Linked DNA regions of Danio rerio. The protein of the gene in region 3 interacts with the protein of the main gene of each other region in a pairwise test. Links are inferred from orthologs where the notes say so. Each region holds a gene or a part of one and is shown on either strand. Other genes may lie near its edges.

Region 1 (4,727 bases), on a different chromosome or scaffold from region 3:
GCGCAAGCAAAAAGATCTGCATGCTTGTAGGCTATTACATAAATGCGATCTCGACTTCTAATACTGCGCTCACGACATTTGTCACTGAAATAACGCCACAGGAAGTTGGTAGGTCTGTGTAAAAAAAAGGCCTGCCTCCACAGCTGGAAAAAATCCTAGAGGAACCACTGCATATAGCATGTATTATTATCGCGTTAATGATCATTTTTCGATACATAGTGGCTGAGACGTTGTTAAAGTAAAAACAGTGTTCGTCTATAGGAAGAAAAAAAAAGTATAGCTTTTAAATTTGACATGACATGGCATCTTTCGTTTCCCAGAGATGGGTTGCGGCTGGAAGGGCATCCGCTTCATAAAAACGTGCTGGATAAGTTGGCGGTTCATTCCGCTGTGGCGACTCCAGATTAATAAAGGGACTAAGCCGAAATGAATGAATGAATGGCAACTTTCGATACAAAAAAGGAATTAAGTTAAATCTGCTGTATAAAAAAAAAACTTGTGCCACTTATTACAATCTGAGCAAGTATTATGAAGTTGCAAGTCAAAGCATGACAGAAAATCTGGCTTTGTTTTTATAATAAACGACATAAACAACAACTCAATATGATATATCTTCAAATCTCTTTGACTGAGCATCGTTACTTTAGTGCTAAACAATGTGTAATTTATTAGGATCGGAGCATGTTTCACAAAGTTACGAGTAGAAAAACCACAACAATAATTCATCAATAGTATGTACTTAACTATGTGTGTTTCTGTGCGGTCTTCATGATGAATATGGATTATGGTGAGCTTAAGCTTTAGTAATCGGGTAAATCTGCTATGAATAATGTTCGATTTTCCACGACTAGAGACAGTTTTGTGACGTTTACTTTCACATTGCGGTGAGTCCAGGCTCAATTACAAAAATCTGTTGTGAATACTGTATGATTTACCATGATCTGACAATGAAGTCACATCACATAAATGACATCTATATTACTGACATATGGGTCAGGGGGAACATCGCATACAAGCATTCGCTCAATTTTAGACAACACCCCAAACAAATATGCCTTTTTATATATCTAAATGATATATGACAAGACTTTCAGAGCTATATGGTGTTTTTCACATCACAGAATCATAAATTACGATTGCTTTGTTCTTGTTTGATAGCAACTAACTCAGCACTACACTGAAGTTAATCAAAATCACTACATGCATTATAGAAACCAAAATCTAAGCTTTCTAATGACACCTGTTTTGTGTTGATCGAGGCAGTAGTTTAGAGAAATTTATGAATCCAATTAATGTTATCAAGTTGATGGAGAGGAATCCCGCTGGAAGTACCCTCCTATTTTACCTCTTGTGGATGTGAATGGTTATATATATATATATATATATATATATATATATATATAATGTGTATAGTTGTTTCCCAGTACTGGGTTGCAGCTAAAAGGGCATTCACTTTGTAAAACATATGCTAAATATGTGGTGACCCCTCATGAATAAAGGGACTAACCCGAAGGAAAATAAATGAATTAAAGTTGCATTTAAAATATGCATTTATGTAGAAAAAAAAGAAAGAAAACATGCACAATATATATTAAAATATACAAAATACATGAATAAATAATCATTAAAACTTTTAATTAATAATAAAAAAAAAATAACTTATTGCTGACAAGAAAAAGTGGAAAAGTAAAAATGTTTAATTAGTATTTTTATGCTGAACTGTGATCCTTGTCCTAAATATACACTACCTGTAAAACGTTTGGGGTCAGTAGGATTTTTAAATGTTTTAAATCAAGCTTCTCCTGCTCACCAAGGCTGCATTTATTTGATCAAAAATACAGTACAAGTAGTAAAATTGTGAAATGTTATTGATAATCATACAGATAATGTTATTATCTGTTGCAGCCTGTAAAGACATCGGGGTAAAGTTGGTTTTATATTTGCACATTTGTTCATTTCTGAGCCAATTTTGACATGCTACTTTGAATATTCGATCTTAATTGTAGGTATGACTTTAAAAACAACATTGCCACTATTTATTTGACTGTGAAAATGTTTTACTTTGATCATCTTTGGCTGAAAAAAAAAACAATTTCCCTTTTTAGAATTTGCAAAAAAAAATAATTTTCTGATTCTGAAATAATATTATTAAAGAGAAACCCTTCTAAAAAAAAAAAAAACAGCTTCAACCAGTCTGCCTTGTTTTAGAGGGGGTTTTGACATTTCCAACCAGGTCTTAGCTGGCCAGGCCATATCCAACTTGACCAGCCTAGCCAAAACCAGCTATGTCCAGCTTAAACCAGTTCTTTAAGGTTGGCTTTGGCTGGTTATTTTTTAGCCTGATCAGCTAAGACCAGGCTAGAAACCAGACTGGAAATGGTCAAAACCCCTCTAAAACCAGGCTGGTCGACCAGCTAAAACCAGTCAACCAGCTTAGGCAGGTTTAGGCTGTTTCTTTTTCAGCAGGGAAGACATAATGTGCGAATATAAAGCCAACTTTACCTCAAATGTAAAGAATTGTTGTACACTTGTTGTTTTGTAATGCTCTGGTAATGTTGGAACAACGAATGAATTATCATCTGGTTTAAGATAAAGGTATAGTAGAAGAGTTATAGCATTCAAAGTCACATTACTGTTGACATTTCAAGCTGGAAAGAGCATAACGTACTATACAGCAATGCCTCTTATCTCAAACGCAGATGTTTCAAACTCACACACCCACTATAACGTGCGTTACAAGAAATAAACCTGAACAATAAACACTGCCTAGTGTAATAAAGGAACTACATAACGTTAAGCCTATTATTTATAAACCGAATCACATATACCCGCACTACACTTTCAATCATAAATAATGTGATTGTATGTAAACATTAGTCATATCTCTGATTATGCAGGTCTGTTTGAACGCTACGACATTATTACGTTAATAAATCTATCAACTCCAAACAGTTTCTCACATAACGCGAGTCGTTATAGTAAATAAACGGGCACGGAGGATGCTTAACCAGTAATTCAGACATAAACATCACTTACCCTCAGCTGTCTCCTCCGCCATCTTACTTCCGCTGACTAACCATAATCCCCCGCGCTTTACAATGACGCAATAGTGTCGACAGGGTTGTGTTAGCAGAGATGTTATTATTAAAAATGTCAAAATACAATTATAGTGGCAAAGGAGCTGAAGTTAATTGACTAGTAAAGTTATTGTCAATTAAATAGGTTAAAATAATATAATTGTAAAGATCTTTATGTTGAATTGTCTCGTTATTTATTTTATGTAATTTATTTTTTGTTTATTTTATGTTATTAGTTACATTTGTATTTTTTGGATGTCATGTTTAAAATGTATATTAGTTGTTGTTTAATAAAAAAAATAAATGAAAAAAAGCTGAGATGTTATTTGGAGGCTTTGAGATGTTAGATTATATAGCTATGAACAATACATTCAAGATTATTAGGATGAAAAAAATGTGCCGTTGACCCTAATTCATGATGTTTTTGTTTTTTATTCCACACAGTATCTTCAAGAAGGTGGATGGTCTCAAGTTTCTTTTGACTTGCAATTTTTCACCATCAAAATTACCAGTAAAATGATCTAAATTTCATGAGCAAGCACTCTCGGCTTGGAAACTTTGCTTTGTGTATAATTTTTTCTCCACACAGAATGAAAATTTGGAATAAGTTACTGTTAAAGAAAAGAGTTTATATTTGGAGAAATTGTTGGAAAATATTGGTACATGTAAGTGATATATTTAATTAATCTTTAAGGATTTATTCATATAAATCATTTTTATCTAAGTTCAATTTTCCTGTTAAATTTAAAGAATTTTCAACAGTGATCAAGATATCCCCTCGAGACTCCTTAATTTAATGGTACATGTACAGTCATTTGACCTATTATAAGATATAAAATAAAGAATGTAATTTCCTGATAAATCGTAAAAATATATTTGACAAAAATGTACTAACAAATACATTAGGCAAGTATTTGATGATAAAAATAGAGTTATTCCAAGAGGGAAATTTTATTGGAATTCGTTATTATGGGAGGTCAATTGGAGAAAAGCATGGCTGCTACCATACAAATTTTGCATTTAAAATAAAGTAAGAGAAATTAATTTAAAAATTTTACAATAAATATACCCAACCAACGTGTTACTTTCCAAATTTTTAGATATTGAGAAAGATCTTTTTCTGATTATTCTGCTAAAAATAATATGTTGATAACATTGAATGGAAAATAAATTATTTGTTATTTTGAAAAGGGTGATAAACTAATTAACAACTTGTTAATTTTATTATTTTTAATGGTAAATTCTTTATCCACAAATGTAGAATGTTCAAAAACTCCTCCTTTATACATAGTATTTTTCAACAAACTTATTCTGCTAATGAAGTCTCTTAAAGCTGTAAAAAAAAATGTAAAAGCTCTGTCTATCGTAAGCTAATATAAATCTGTTTTTGGTGTCTTCCTTTTGTTTTTTATTTTTATTTATTTATATAGAATTTCAATTATGCTGGATTTTTTGTTGCCTGTTTTTGCTGTGTTTGTAAAGTACAAATAAAAAAAGCAAGATGTTATTTTACTTTGAAATTAGCTAAAGCTATTTTGTTATGTTTTATATTGTATATAAATGACCATAAAATCACCCATTTAGTAACAGCACATACTGCCACCAGATGACAGTGTAAACACAAGAAAGAATAGGGAATATAACACAAAG
Region 2 (4,742 bases), about 8.2 Mb from region 3:
AAGGAGGTTTTCTCCGGCCTAAAAGTGAGTGTGAGATGTTGCTGTTAATAATTTGCACCAAACACAATGTCCGAGAACAGATTGCCTGTTTGTTAAAGGGGTGGTTCAGCCAAAAATGAAAATTCTGTCATCATATACTTATCCTCGTTTCAAACCTTTATGAGTTTCTTTCTTCTTTTGATCATAAAAGAAAATATTCTGAAATACACACTTAGCTGATAATTGATTATTAAAGTAAGTTTGGCATGCAGAAGAAAGCTCTGAGCTCATAGGATCCTCAAGCCTGGGGCTCTCTTCCGTTTGAGGGTGAGAGGGGAGTTTTAGCTTAGGTAGGTCTCGAGAAACCCCTTATTTAGGGCTAATAACAAATCAGGAATTGCTATATAGATATATACTGCTGCTTAAAAGCTCGACTGTAGTGACAATTTAGATAGGTCAATTAACTTATGATGCATGGCTTTGGACTGTGGGAGAAAACCGGAGAACCTGGGGGAAATCCACGTGAGCACAGGGGAACATGTAAACTCTGCACATAAATGTCAACTGGCCTGTTAAGGAATTGAGCCAGTGACGTTCTTGCTATGAGGCAACAGAGTTAACCACTGGACCATCATGCCACCCTATAAGGCAGGGGTCACCAAACTTGTTCCTGGAGGGCCGGTGTCCTCCAGATCTTAGCTCTAACTCTTATCAAACACATCTGAATAAGCTAATCAAGGTCTTACTAGGTATACTTGAAACATCCAGGCAGGTGTGTAAAAGCAAGTTGGAGCTAAACCCTGCAGGGACAACGGCCCTCCAGGACCGAGATTGGTGACCCCTGCTATAAGGAAAAGGAGGATGAGTAGGGGTGTGTTAGCTAATGGTGGAGCAGCCGTGATCAATCATAAGCACATGCTCCTATCGGAATTAATTTATAAATAAGCTTTACAAAGCTGGAAACCTGCAACCATTGACTTCCATAGTATTTGTTTTTCTTCTTATGGAAGTCAGTGGTTGCATGTTTTCAGCTTTATTCAGAATATCAAAAAAATTGTGTTCAACAGAAAGAAACTCGTAAAGGTTTGGAACCACTCAAGGGTGATTAAATAATTAGAAAATTTTAATTTTGGGTGAACTATCCTTTTAACGCATCATGACAACTTCTACCATATCAAATACTGTGCTAAACCTGCATAGGAATTAATGTTGTGATTTAACAAATGTACATTTTGTTTTAAAGATGCTTACCGGTGTTGTCACCTTGATCCTCTTCCCACTGTTTGGCCTTTCCACGTCAGAACCTGTAGATGCTCGTTTTGTAATGCTCTTAAAGAAACTCTCCATCTTTCCCTCTGTGTTTTCAATAACGTCCTCTGCATCTTTCTCGACTTTAACTTCTAGAGAAAAGCCCAAGTGTTTATAATTACTAAGAAATACTGATAAACATTATCTCACAAGTTTTAGCAGCTGTAATGAGGTGACAGGATCTGGCTTTGTTTAATCCTTTTCAGATTTACAGCTGGTAGTAACATGCATCTCTTTAAACTTGACTTTTTTTCGGTTTCCTGTCCTTTTGAAGTTCTTATATTAAAAGGAATAAGTGCCCTGGTAAACATTACAAACTTCTTTAAAAAATTAGAACTGTCCATTTTAATGTCATGCTGACTTTAATGTCAAAATCAACCAATATAGTTTTTTTATTCAATCATTCCTTAGCATGTAGTTCAAATGCATTAAAAATCAGCTATCTTTTTGTGTATTTTTGTATTTACACTCTCATTAAAGGGGCAGTTCATCCTTTACTCACCCTTTATTGTTCAATATTGACAAAAGCTAGGTTTCCATTGACTTCCATGATAGAAAAAAACAAATACTATGGTAGTCAATGGTTACAGTTTTATAGCTTTCTTCAAAATAACTTATTTTGTGTTCAACAGAATAATAAAACTTATAAAGGTTTGTATCCACTCGAGGTGAGTAAAAAGGGAGTAAAACTTCATTTTTGAGTGTCTACTTTATTTCATTTCATGTGATATTGTCACTAATAAACCCCTACCAGGTCCACTTCCAAATACAACATCTATATTTGATTTGATAAGGTAAATCAGTTGATTTGACAGGAAATTTCGATTTAGACTGGTTAATTTGATGTGATGCATGTTAGTACACAGAGAAAGCCTTGATGTTTAATGAAAGTTCTCACTGCATGAGCAAAGAAAATTTAGAATATTTTTACTGTGAGTCTTTACATACTTTTATCAGGCACCTGTCCATCTGCATTAACCATGCACAGAGAAGAGCTCATGTCCTGGGAAGAGACACACAAGACCCGTGATTGTTTAATATCTGACAGTCGGAATATCGGACTGTCACATTGTCAAGGTTTCTCTATAATTACTTGTTTTTTAAAGGATGCATTTGTCTTCTGAGTCAGTATTGCACATGACTGTCACAAATGTTAACTTATGAAAAGTGTGAGAAAATGAAGAAATATGTAAAAACTTTATTCTCGAACTGGTTTTTCTTCACGGTAGAGTTATGTGAGGTTGTTTTCCTATTTGTTTTCCATGTCTTGCACCGTGAAGTCTCGCCAGAGCACCGGAGAGGCGCTGCTTCACCGTACAGACCCCCGGCCACCGGCTCCACTTCCTCATTCTTCCAGTGGAAACCCCACGGATCGGTTCAACCGGGGAGTCAGTCGGACAAACAGCTCCCCGCTGCGCTCCTTACTTCATAAGTCTTTAGGAAAGAATGTGCTGCTGTTAATGTATTTGCAGTAATGCTGAGTCCTGTCCTTCTCTCTCGTGTCTCCCCTCCCTCCCCCGTGCGCAACTCTCCCTCTTGCGTGACGCGGCAAGAAAAACATCCACCGATGAGTTTTCGCTCCGTCTCTCGCCACACGGCGCGCATAAACTACCTGCGCGGTGGAAATCAAACTCACCTTTGCGACGCCGGGCAGCCCTGTGCAATAGGTTACGAGGCATCGGCCATAGTCGCGTATTTAAATCCAGTGGATTTGTCCACGGGTAACTGTTGTCCGTGTTTCTCTTCGCTGCTTTTTTCTCTAGTCAGTGCCCTCTCGCGTGACGTGACGGTACTGTGTCATTTCCGCACAGCTGTGGGTTTGCTGTGGGTTTTTGCCAGCCCACCCCACGTGAATCCCCGTGCTGCTGCGCCGTGGCCGTGAAATGCACGGAGTGCGCGCTGGTGTGGGACTTCTCGTGACCCAGTCATTTCGAGAGGCCCCTCGAGTCGCGCGCATGAGTTCCACGAGTATAAAATCACCAACGTCATAGACGCTTGTGACCAAACACATGCGGTGTATATAGCAGCATTTGTTTAAGAAAATCATGCTTTTGGTAAAAGTTATTACATCGAAAATTATTAAATGAACAGAGCTTGTAAATATACATAAAGCCTATTTAGCAAAATAACGACTGTATTATATTTCTGTTACTGTTTTTTTACTTTAAGTTTTGTTAATCTAAAACATCATTGATTTAAATGTTGTACAGTTAAATAAATGACGTACATTCTCAGTCAACATTGGAAATGTAAGCAACACCAAGAAAAGCAAACGTGGGTTTCCACGAACTGTCTGGCTGTACTTTGTTCTCACAAAAGGTTTTACAATAAATATTTGGGTTGTAAATATAGGCTAGTTGTTGTTTTTTTTAAAACATGTTCTATGGAAATAGCTTAAAGACCAAGTCTTTATATAGCCAAGCTAATTTGATTTGCTTGATTCACTAAATCCAACTTTTGGCCAAAAAATAAATGTATAAACTTTGATTTTAAATGTCTAAAATTAGGTTAGTAAAATTAGCCTACTGTAAATAAATACCTAAAATATATATTTTTTACATGTGTTTCTTTTCACCTTAACAGTTAAAGCCCAGAACTACTTTTAGCACGTTTTAACTTGTTCATAGTTTTACATTTTCTACATTTTGATAAAGTTAACTGTCGGTTAAATGCTGTTTACAGCCGGTCTACCACTTAACTGCCGTCTAGTGGATATGACAAGTACTGCAGGGCAAACGTGAATGTCCACCAAAACTGTATTAGACAGAAAGAAATACAGATAGATTAGATAGATAGATAGATAGATAGATAGATAGATAGATAGATAGATAGATAGATAGATAGATAGATAGATAGATAGATAGATAGATAGATAGATAGATAGATAGATAGATAGATAGATAGATAGATAGATAGATAGATAGATAGATAGATAGATAGATAGATGCAGCAAAACAATACACTCAAAAACAACTCTTACACTCAAACTAACTCTTTACAACATAACATTTAAAGATTATCTTTTGGCTGCATTGTCTGTTTCAAGACTAGCACAATATAATGCAACATCATGCACTATAAAAGCAAATAGGTGAAACAAATCCACTGCTTATATTCGTCCTCGCACGCAAACGCCCATCAGAAACTGTTCTCAGACACTCATCATCAGCTGCACCCGATGTGACCAATGTCCCGTAACGCGCATTAGTAATGTCTGCATTAGCGATGTCTGCATTAAGTCACGGAGCAGTGGCTCTTTGAGATGTGGGTGTGTTGAGGCGCCGGTCGGTCATTATTCAGGTAATGTGGGCTGTTTGATCCATCACGCGCTCATGCGATGATGCTCGCGCTTCTGTTCTGTGGGACGCGCGCGCGCATTGAACGGGGAGCTTCGCGCTGCTCGTTAAAGACTCATTTCAGCAGACGCTCATCTAATTTTTTACCTCAAGAGGAAA
Region 3 (4,427 bases):
ATATATGTCAAGCCCCTGGGGCAAGCTGTCAAATCTTCTTCTGCTGTGAATATTTGACAGGTAAATCTTTAACTTTTTAAAAATGACAATTTACTTGTTCATGAATTTTAGTAAACATAATCTTTGTTTTATTCTGTAAAGGACTAATTTTAAACTAATTTTACATCTCTTTACCATTTTTTGTTATTGTTGTTAAGTCCTTTTAATTTCCTTTTTAAACGAAAATAATGAAAATCTCCCAAAAATACTAAAACTGCATTTTAGAGTAACAATAGTATACAAAAAAAGTATTTTTGTGCTTATTTAAAACACAAATGAATCTATGACATATTAAAAGACATAAACATTTTTTAACCCAACTCCAAAGGTTTAACCCACTTGTTACCAACACGTTTAATCAATTAAAATAATGTAAAATGTATTATTTATCACTTATTATTAGTGCAAGTCAAAATAAGTGTGTTGTTTATTTTTACATAAATACATCTGTTATACTGAATGACCATGGAACATATTTTCACCCATTTAAAAATGGGATTTTCACCCATCCCAAAAATACTAAAACTGCATTTTAGAGTAGCAATAATATACAAAAAAAGTATTTTTGTGCTTATTTAAAACACAAATGAATTAATGACATTAAAAGACATAAAAAATTTTTAACCCAACCCCAAAGGTTTAACCCACTTGTTACCAACACGTTTAATCAATTAAAATAATGTAAAATATATTATTTATCACTTATTATTAGTGCAAGTCAAAATAAGTGTGTTGTTTATTTTTACATAAATACATCTGTTATACTGAATGACCATGGAACATATTTTCACCCATTTAAAAATGGGATTTTCACCCATCCCAAAAATACTAAAACTGCATTTTAGAGTAGCAATAATATACAAAAAAAGTATTTTTGTGCTTATTTAAAACACAAATGAATTAATGACATTAAAAGACATAAAAAAAATTTAACCCAACCCCAAAGGTTTAACCCACTTGTTACCAACACGTTTAATCAATTAAAATAATGTAAAATATATTATTTATCACTTATTATTAGTGCAAGTCAAAATAAGTGTGTTGTTTATTTTTACATAAATACATCTGTTATACTGAATGACCATGGAACATATTTTCACCCATTTAAAAATGTAGATTTATTCTGTGATAAATGCAAGATGGAGTTAGCCACTTCCTTACATAGTTATACTCTGTGTTGATCCTATTCTAGGCTGAAATATTTAAAACTATCTAAAATTTTACACTGTGAAACAGTTTTCAACCCACTTTTGGTCATATTCGGAATTTCAGACAAAACTAGATCACTCCAGGATTCTCAAAAACAACTGTTGTCTTACAGCCTTATTGTGGCAAAGAAGCTAGTGGTAAGGTTTTGGAAATCAACACAATCCTCATCATTTAGATCTTGGCTGGAAGAATTACCTAAATTAGCATATTTGGAAATAATCAGATTTCTTATGGCAAAGAAATTGAAAACAAATTGACAATATTTGGTCTCCTCTTCTCCTCTATCTTGAAAGCGTAGGTTAAAAACCCACATGGTGAAGGTCACACCAACATTACTGCATAAGCTTTGGTCCCAGGGGTGGGGGGTTTAGAGGTTAAGCATTTTGTGTTTTTTGAAAAGTGTATTCTGGGTTTACAAATTATTTATTTATTTTTAAATAATTTTTTATTAATTATTTATTTTTGCAAAAAAAATAGAGATGTAATATTTACTGTAATGCTGTGCAATGCAATGCAATGAATATCTCAATAAAAACCTTTTAAAACAAACAAAAAAAATATATTAATATAATTTTATTTACAACATATATTTGAAACAAAATAGGTACTTTGCTTTCTCTGCATAAAAAATGACTTTTGTAATTTTATTAACACCAAATTGCAACTTTGTCTAATAGTTTGCTATATATATATAGTTGAAGTCAGAATTATTATCCCCTTTAGATTTTTTTCTTTTTTAATTTTTTCCAAATGATGTTTAACAGAGCAAGGAAATTTTCACAGTATATCTGATATTATTTTTTCTTCAGGAGTAAGTCTTATATTTTTTATTTCAGCTAGAATGAAAGCAGTTTTTAATTTTTAAGGTCAAAATTATTAACCCCTTTAAGCTATATGTTTTTTCGATAGTCTAACGAATATGTTGATAGATATAAAAATATCCAGTAAAGTATTATGTACTGTCATCATGGCAAAGATAAAATAAATCAGTTATTAGAAATTAGTTATTAAAGCGATAATATTTAGAAATGTGTTGAAAAATATCTCTCTGTTAAACAGAAATTGGGTAAAAAAATAAACGGGGCTAATAATTCAGAGGGGCTATAGTTCTGACTTCAACTGTGTGTGTGTGTGTGTGTGTGTGTATGTGTATATATATATATATATATATATATATATATATATATATATATATATATATATATATATATATATATATATATATATATATATATATATATATATGCGCATGTGTGTGTTTGTGTATCTGACAGTAATGTTTAATGTAAACTAATTCCATAATTTATAGCCTTTATGTGCATATGTGAAACCACGTGACAACCTGCTCTATTTATTAAAAATGATCATTCAAAAGCAATGCAAAGTGATTCAGAAATGTCTTGCCTTCCTTCCATTCTCCGGTATATTCTTCTCCACTGGAATAAGTGAAGGAGCCCCTGGTTAATGTCATACCTCCACCAAGCTGCACACAAAACAGATGAATATCAATAACGTTAGGTGGCAGAATTACACTAATGTAATAAGCAGATCATGAACAGAACATCACCTAAGCCCACACACAGTCGTATTGTGTACAGTGTAAAGCTCAGTCTAACAGAGTGAGCCCTGTGGTGGTTAATTTTAGCCGATACTGTATCATTTATAATGTAACGGTTCATTTACGCCGAACACGTTTAAACATTTACGGACTAAAAGAAAGCAGCGGCTGAGGTGACGTCATCCCACTTCTCAATTACAGCCTGTGAAAACCCGTTTCGCGTTATTTCACGCCAGCAAATGGAGATTTCATTTACCTGTTATGTTTATATGCGGTCTGAAGAGCATGAAACCCTTTCGCTTTGTCCAGCGGATCCGCAGATACAGAGAAAATTGGGTCCTGGCTCGCCGGTGTTTCAGTTCCTCTCGCTGAATCTCTCTGTCCTTAAAGATCTCGCGATGTTTTATGTTGTGCTTCTCTCAGCGAGCGCTGATTGGCTGATCAATGTCTACAAAAGAGCCACACTGGCAAGGGTAACGTGATACGGACTCTTCTCATTAGTGCTGTTTACAAAGGTAAGTAATGCTGTCACTGCTGCTGCCTATTTTAAGGTTTGCTATTTGAACTAACCTTTTTTTTTCATTCAAGGCAGTACAGTTAGACCACCTTAAACAACAAACACAATTACTGAAACAGTGACGGGAGTTTATTAGCCTTAATTTATATGTTGTAATTTATGTCTGTGTTTAGTACTGTTAACAACACGATACAATATTTTTGATAACAGTTTGATAAAGGAAATGTTTTACCACAAACATGTTTCTGTAGCTAAACCAAAAGTATGCATGACTTTGACACCATAGCTAACCATGGTATATGCAGTAAACTTGCGGTTATGGTAATAAATCTGCCAAAACATCATCATTACTACACTTGTACTATAATAAACCCATGGTTATGTTTTTCTAAAGTGGGCATTTAACTTATTTAACTCTTCCTAAATTAAATTGAGATGTCCTATTTTTAAGCTTGTATTAGTTTAGGTTTATTCTAATGTTCTGCGAATTGTTGCTACACTTTTATGTACATTAATTTTGATAAACAATTTGAGTAAGAAATTGTTATGGAAGTCCCATTTGCTAGCCATTAACACAGTCAACAGATTATTTACAATTACAGCATGCACTTTGTCTTTCAGCATTTTAATTATAGCATAATTTGGCCCATTTTGTAATATTTTATTAAGGAGGAATATTATACAGGTATTTTATTTTGTCTGAGCAACTTTATCCTCACTGTGAACAGTTTCTTAATCTACGTTTCATGAATTAGAAAAATAAATTGTGAGATCATATCTCTGTGCGGAACACTGGCTGCAGTCAGATTCTTTATGCAAATAAAATTCTCAATGGATTATTTCAATTAATAGCAGAAATATTATTCGGTAATAAAAACTTTTTTTTTGACATAAACCATTATTTTTTTTAACCCTAAATCTGATTAAATTACTAGTGTTCTTATATACAGGTGCAATCAGAATTGTTAACCCACCTGAATTATTTGCCCCCCTGTTTATTTTTTTCCCCAATTTCTGTTTAACAGAGAGCAGATTTTTCAAAACATTTCTAAACATAATAGTTTTGATAACTCATTTCTAATAACTGATTTCTTTTATCTTTGC
Region 4 (3,977 bases), on a different chromosome or scaffold from region 3:
ACTAGTTAAACACTTAAAAAAAACTAAATATTTTGAAGAATGTTGGCCGTGAGTCATCGGTTTACAACTCGTCAGAATGCAAAATACGGATTATACATTGATTCCGCAGCACCCCAAAGAGGAATAAGGTCAGGTCCAAATATAGTCAAAACTGTGCTTTTCATTCTTGGGGAAATTCTTCTAGTTATACACATGCATATAAATACATTTCCGAAGATTTTTTACCTACATAAGCCACATACCTACTATGTAAATATCAAAGAACAATTTCATACATTAAATCAATGCACTCTATGGATACTTTAATGCAAGAATTCCAGTAATAAACATTATATTTCAGTTTCTTCTATAAAGCGGCTCTTCAGGCCAGGTTAATTACCAGCTAATGTTCATGTTTCAGTGAACAATCCCTTTAGTACAAGTGTAAACTTCACCTAAATATCTGTTCTCTTGATTACCTTTTCCTCCTCCAGTTGTTTGGTTACTGCACAGTGCTCCTCCTTCAGCTTTTCGTATGCCTCCGTCTCAGTCTTTCTGCTCTCCTCCAACGAGCAGAGTTCTGCCTTGAGCTCCTCTACCTGTCGCAGACCCTCCTCTTGCATCTTTGCTGCATACAATCACATATAAACAAGCCCGTCAAATCAAATAGAATACACAATATCTACATAATCAAGGTTTCTGCAGGTCTCACCAAATTAAATTTAAGACTAAGAACTGAAGGCCACTGTGAAGGAAATTTAAGACCTGTATCACAATGTTGCTTCTATTTGTAGTTATACTAGTTATACAGTTGCAATACTGGCAGATTAATTTTGAACTAGTGAAAGAAAGCTACACCACAACACATTTTAAAGTATGCTTTGGTAGCTTTTAAATCAGTTTAAGAGGTACCATTAGTGGTACAAAGGAGGACCTAGAGTAGAACACAATTATTAAATGAGACTTTTTAGACTTTAAATAAAGATTTTTACATTTTTTTTTTTTTTTAATAAATTTACCTCTTTCATCCTCCAGCAGCGAGCACCGTTCCCCCATGAGTGCCACACGCTGATCCAGCTCTTCCTCAGTCCTTCTCAAGACTTCCTTTACACGGGCCAGCTCCTGCTCCTGCTGCCTTACCAAGCTCCAGGATTCCTCAAGATCCCGATCCCCCTGCTTCATCCGTTCCTCCAACTCTTTTAGCGAGCTCTGAGATTCCTGCAGGTCCTGCGCATGCTGCTCTATCTCTTTCTCCTTCTCTTCTAGGGCGTTCTGGGAGTCCCGCAGCTCCTGCTTAGACCTCTGCACCTCATCTTCCTTTACTTTCAGTGCCTCCTGACACTCCTGCAGCTCAGCGGTACATTTCTCCAACTTCTGCTCCACTTCACTGCACAGAGCCGAATAAAGACGGATGAAGATGTGTACACTGATACCATGAAAACAACAATAATAAAATGCACGCAGCTCTAACCTGAGGTTTTCCTGAGCATCAGACACCCGGCGCTCCATGGTGGATTTGTCCTGGAGCTTAATCCGCAAATCCTTTGACATTGGAGAGTGAGACAGACAGCTTATCTCAAACCAAGCAGCACTTCAAAGACTGATGATTCAACTTAAGGGTGAATAAATGTCAACTGGCTTAGGAGAGTCAAATTCTGTTGACCAAAACCAATACCTGAATCTCTTCATTCGCTGAGTCCAAGTAACTCTGCAGAGCTTTGATCTCCTCCCTCAGTTCCTGGATTATGTCTTCATTTGCAGAAGTAAAAAAAGGAGTAAAAAAGCAATGTAATATTATAAAAACCAATATAAGATGCAGAATATAAATATATAAACAATATAACATTATAAAACAAACACAGGTCCTAGCATGCAAACTTACTATGCAATTTGTCCATTTCATTTTCAAGCAGCTCATTTTGGGCTCTTGTTTCCTGATGTAGGTCCTCTGAAAAAATTTTTAGTAATAAGAAAAATTGTCAGATTGTCATCATTAATTATACATGCTTTAAAGTAATCATTTATTAGTAATCATTGAAAACAATAAATAAATGTTTTTAAAACCAGTTGACTGGAAAATCAGAAATCAAATGTCACTGTATTGCTCCAACATTACTGTGATTTTTTTTTTTACAAATTAAACAAACAGAAATAACAATATAAAAATCTAATATTCAGTTATCTTTATCTTTTGGCCAAAGTGGCTGTATATTTTAAAACTTAACATTTAAAATATAATAATAATAATAATATATTTTCAGTTTATTAATTCAAATTAGTATGCTCATAACTTAAACCAATAGGGTATGTGCAGAAGGACTTTTAATTTGTCAGTAACTTGGGTCAAACACTTCCAGTGAACTGTATGTGATTAAAAAACTGTAACGTTTAAGGTGCGTTTTCTTTAAAAATCAACAATCTTCACTGCCTAAATGATATATAACTCTGATAAGGGTCTCAGAATGTACAAGAAGCACTGCATTAAAGGACACTTTCCTGCACCATGTCTTTTAAATATTCAAATTAATTTTACTCCAGTATTTTCATCTCAGTTTACGCTTCTACAACTAAATCAATGCCAAAGTCTATTTAACTGATTATATTTTAGATTCACCACAGCATCGATGCTGCAAAAGGAACTGTATAAAATAAAGTCACATTAACTGATCACCAGAAGTTTATCGGTATGGGAAGAAACACTAGCTGTGCATTTACCCTATTTGCTGCTCAAGTAACATTTCTTAGTGCTATTGATGTAACATTCATGATCAAAACTTGTTCAAAACAACAAAGACACAATTCAACGAAAAATATCTTGTACTACTTGAAAAGCTATTTATTTTTAATGATTAAAAGCATTAAACGAATATTTAACCCAAATATGAAAATGATGTCACCATTTACTTGTTCCAAACCTGTTGTTTTTTTAGGTTAAACACCAAAAAATTTATTTTGAAGAAAGTTGGAAACCTGTAATCATCAACTTCCATAGTTGGAAAAACAAATACTATGAAAGTCAATGGTTACAGTTTTTCAGCTCTTTTCCAAACATCTTGTTTCTTGTTTAACAGAAAATAAAACTGAAAGGTTTTGGATATACTTTTGGGAGAGTAAATGAGGCGTAAACTTTCATTTTTTTGGTGTGAACTACCCTTTTAATTTCACGAATATTCCAAAAATAATACATTTGAACATTGGTGTTCAAAATAAGTAACTTCATTTCCTGCTTCCTTTTGCTCAGCATGACAAGCCTTTGAAAAAAAAGTTTGAAAAAATTTGTACACTGGCTTTTTTTTTTTTCCTTTTGTGTTTGAGGCCAAAAATCTGTTGACTAGTTTTGGATATCAGACATAACTGATATTTTAAGCTATTTGACAAAAAGACAGTCAAATGTTCCTGGTTCATCTGACAAAAATAACATTTTGCTACTGACAGCCAACAACTTCAAACAATAAATAAAATAAATACATCTGACAGGGTCTTCAGAGAACACTTCTGAGAGACTCACTGTATCAGTTTTTTGGAGAAGCCTGAAAAATTCAGGTCAGACAAATAATAAATCTGGATGTTGTGAAAAGCTCTTATTTTTGCTAAATTTCTGTGTGCATTAATAACTACATAGATTGAGTATAAGGGGACCAAATTTAGAGTCCTGAGAGAGCACAAAATGTATTTTCAACATTACATTTAAATCTCAAATGAAAATGCATTGTGATCAGATCATATAATATTATCATTTGTTTTTAAAGTTGCTGTTAGCAATTTTCAGATATATTATAAATAGTGGTTTTATTTACATATATACAATATCATACAAGCAGCTCCTCAAAGAGACTCACCAAGGTCTTTATTCCGGTCTTGCAGAACTCGAAACGTTGTTTTTGCAGTCTCCAGATCAGTTTCCAAGACCTTTACCTTTCCTTCCGAGCTTATCTGTAGGAAGCTCAGCTCCTGTTTAACAAAGACCAAGATTACACTGAGAACCATAAAACACACAC

What was found.
Region 1: the proteins of morn4 (region 3) and ranbp3a interact in a two-hybrid assay, tested with the Homo sapiens proteins (2 studies listed by BioGRID). The two-hybrid records come from large-scale screens. The link is inferred for Danio rerio from reciprocal best matches to the Homo sapiens genes MORN4 and RANBP3.
Region 2: the proteins of morn4 (region 3) and bend3 interact in binary tests that used the Homo sapiens proteins (3 or more experiments, as listed by UniProt). The two-hybrid records come from large-scale screens. The link is inferred for Danio rerio from reciprocal best matches to the Homo sapiens genes MORN4 and BEND3.
Region 4: the proteins of morn4 (region 3) and hmmr interact in binary tests that used the Homo sapiens proteins (3 or more experiments, as listed by UniProt). The two-hybrid records come from large-scale screens. The link is inferred for Danio rerio from reciprocal best matches to the Homo sapiens genes MORN4 and HMMR.

The regions. Positions count from the first base shown.
Region 1 is NC_133186.1:6,421,808-6,426,534, reverse strand, and holds the start of ranbp3a (ran-binding protein 3a), read right to left. Parts: upstream 3,075-4,727; 5' UTR 3,059-3,074; coding exon of another isoform or gene 3,037-3,058; intron 1-3,036. UniProt on the Homo sapiens protein: Acts as a cofactor for XPO1/CRM1-mediated nuclear export, perhaps as export complex scaffolding protein. Bound to XPO1/CRM1, stabilizes the XPO1/CRM1-cargo interaction. In the absence of Ran-bound GTP prevents binding of XPO1/CRM1 to the nuclear pore complex.
Region 2 is NC_133188.1:36,077,935-36,082,676, forward strand, and holds the start of bend3 (BEN domain-containing protein 3), read right to left. Parts: upstream 3,087-4,742; 5' UTR 2,924-3,086; exon of another isoform or gene 2,381-2,923; intron 2,291-2,380; 5' UTR 2,288-2,290; coding exon 2,236-2,287; intron 1,380-2,235; coding exon 1,231-1,379; intron 19-1,230; coding exon 1-18. UniProt on the Homo sapiens protein: Transcriptional repressor which associates with the NoRC (nucleolar remodeling complex) complex and plays a key role in repressing rDNA transcription.
Region 3 is NC_133188.1:44,272,900-44,277,326, forward strand, and holds the start of morn4 (MORN repeat-containing protein 4), read right to left. Parts: upstream 3,183-4,427; 5' UTR 3,063-3,182; intron 2,732-3,062; 5' UTR 2,720-2,731; coding exon 2,653-2,719; intron 1-2,652. UniProt on the Homo sapiens protein: Plays a role in promoting axonal degeneration following neuronal injury by toxic insult or trauma.
Region 4 is NC_133189.1:32,876,070-32,880,046, reverse strand, and holds part of hmmr (hyaluronan mediated motility receptor), read right to left. Parts: intron 3,931-3,977; coding exon 3,819-3,930; intron 1,928-3,818; coding exon 1,862-1,927; intron 1,729-1,861; coding exon 1,655-1,728; intron 1,522-1,654; coding exon 1,451-1,521; intron 1,367-1,450; coding exon 999-1,366; intron 608-998; coding exon 459-607; intron 1-458. UniProt on the Homo sapiens protein: Receptor for hyaluronic acid (HA). Involved in cell motility. When hyaluronan binds to HMMR, the phosphorylation of a number of proteins, including PTK2/FAK1 occurs.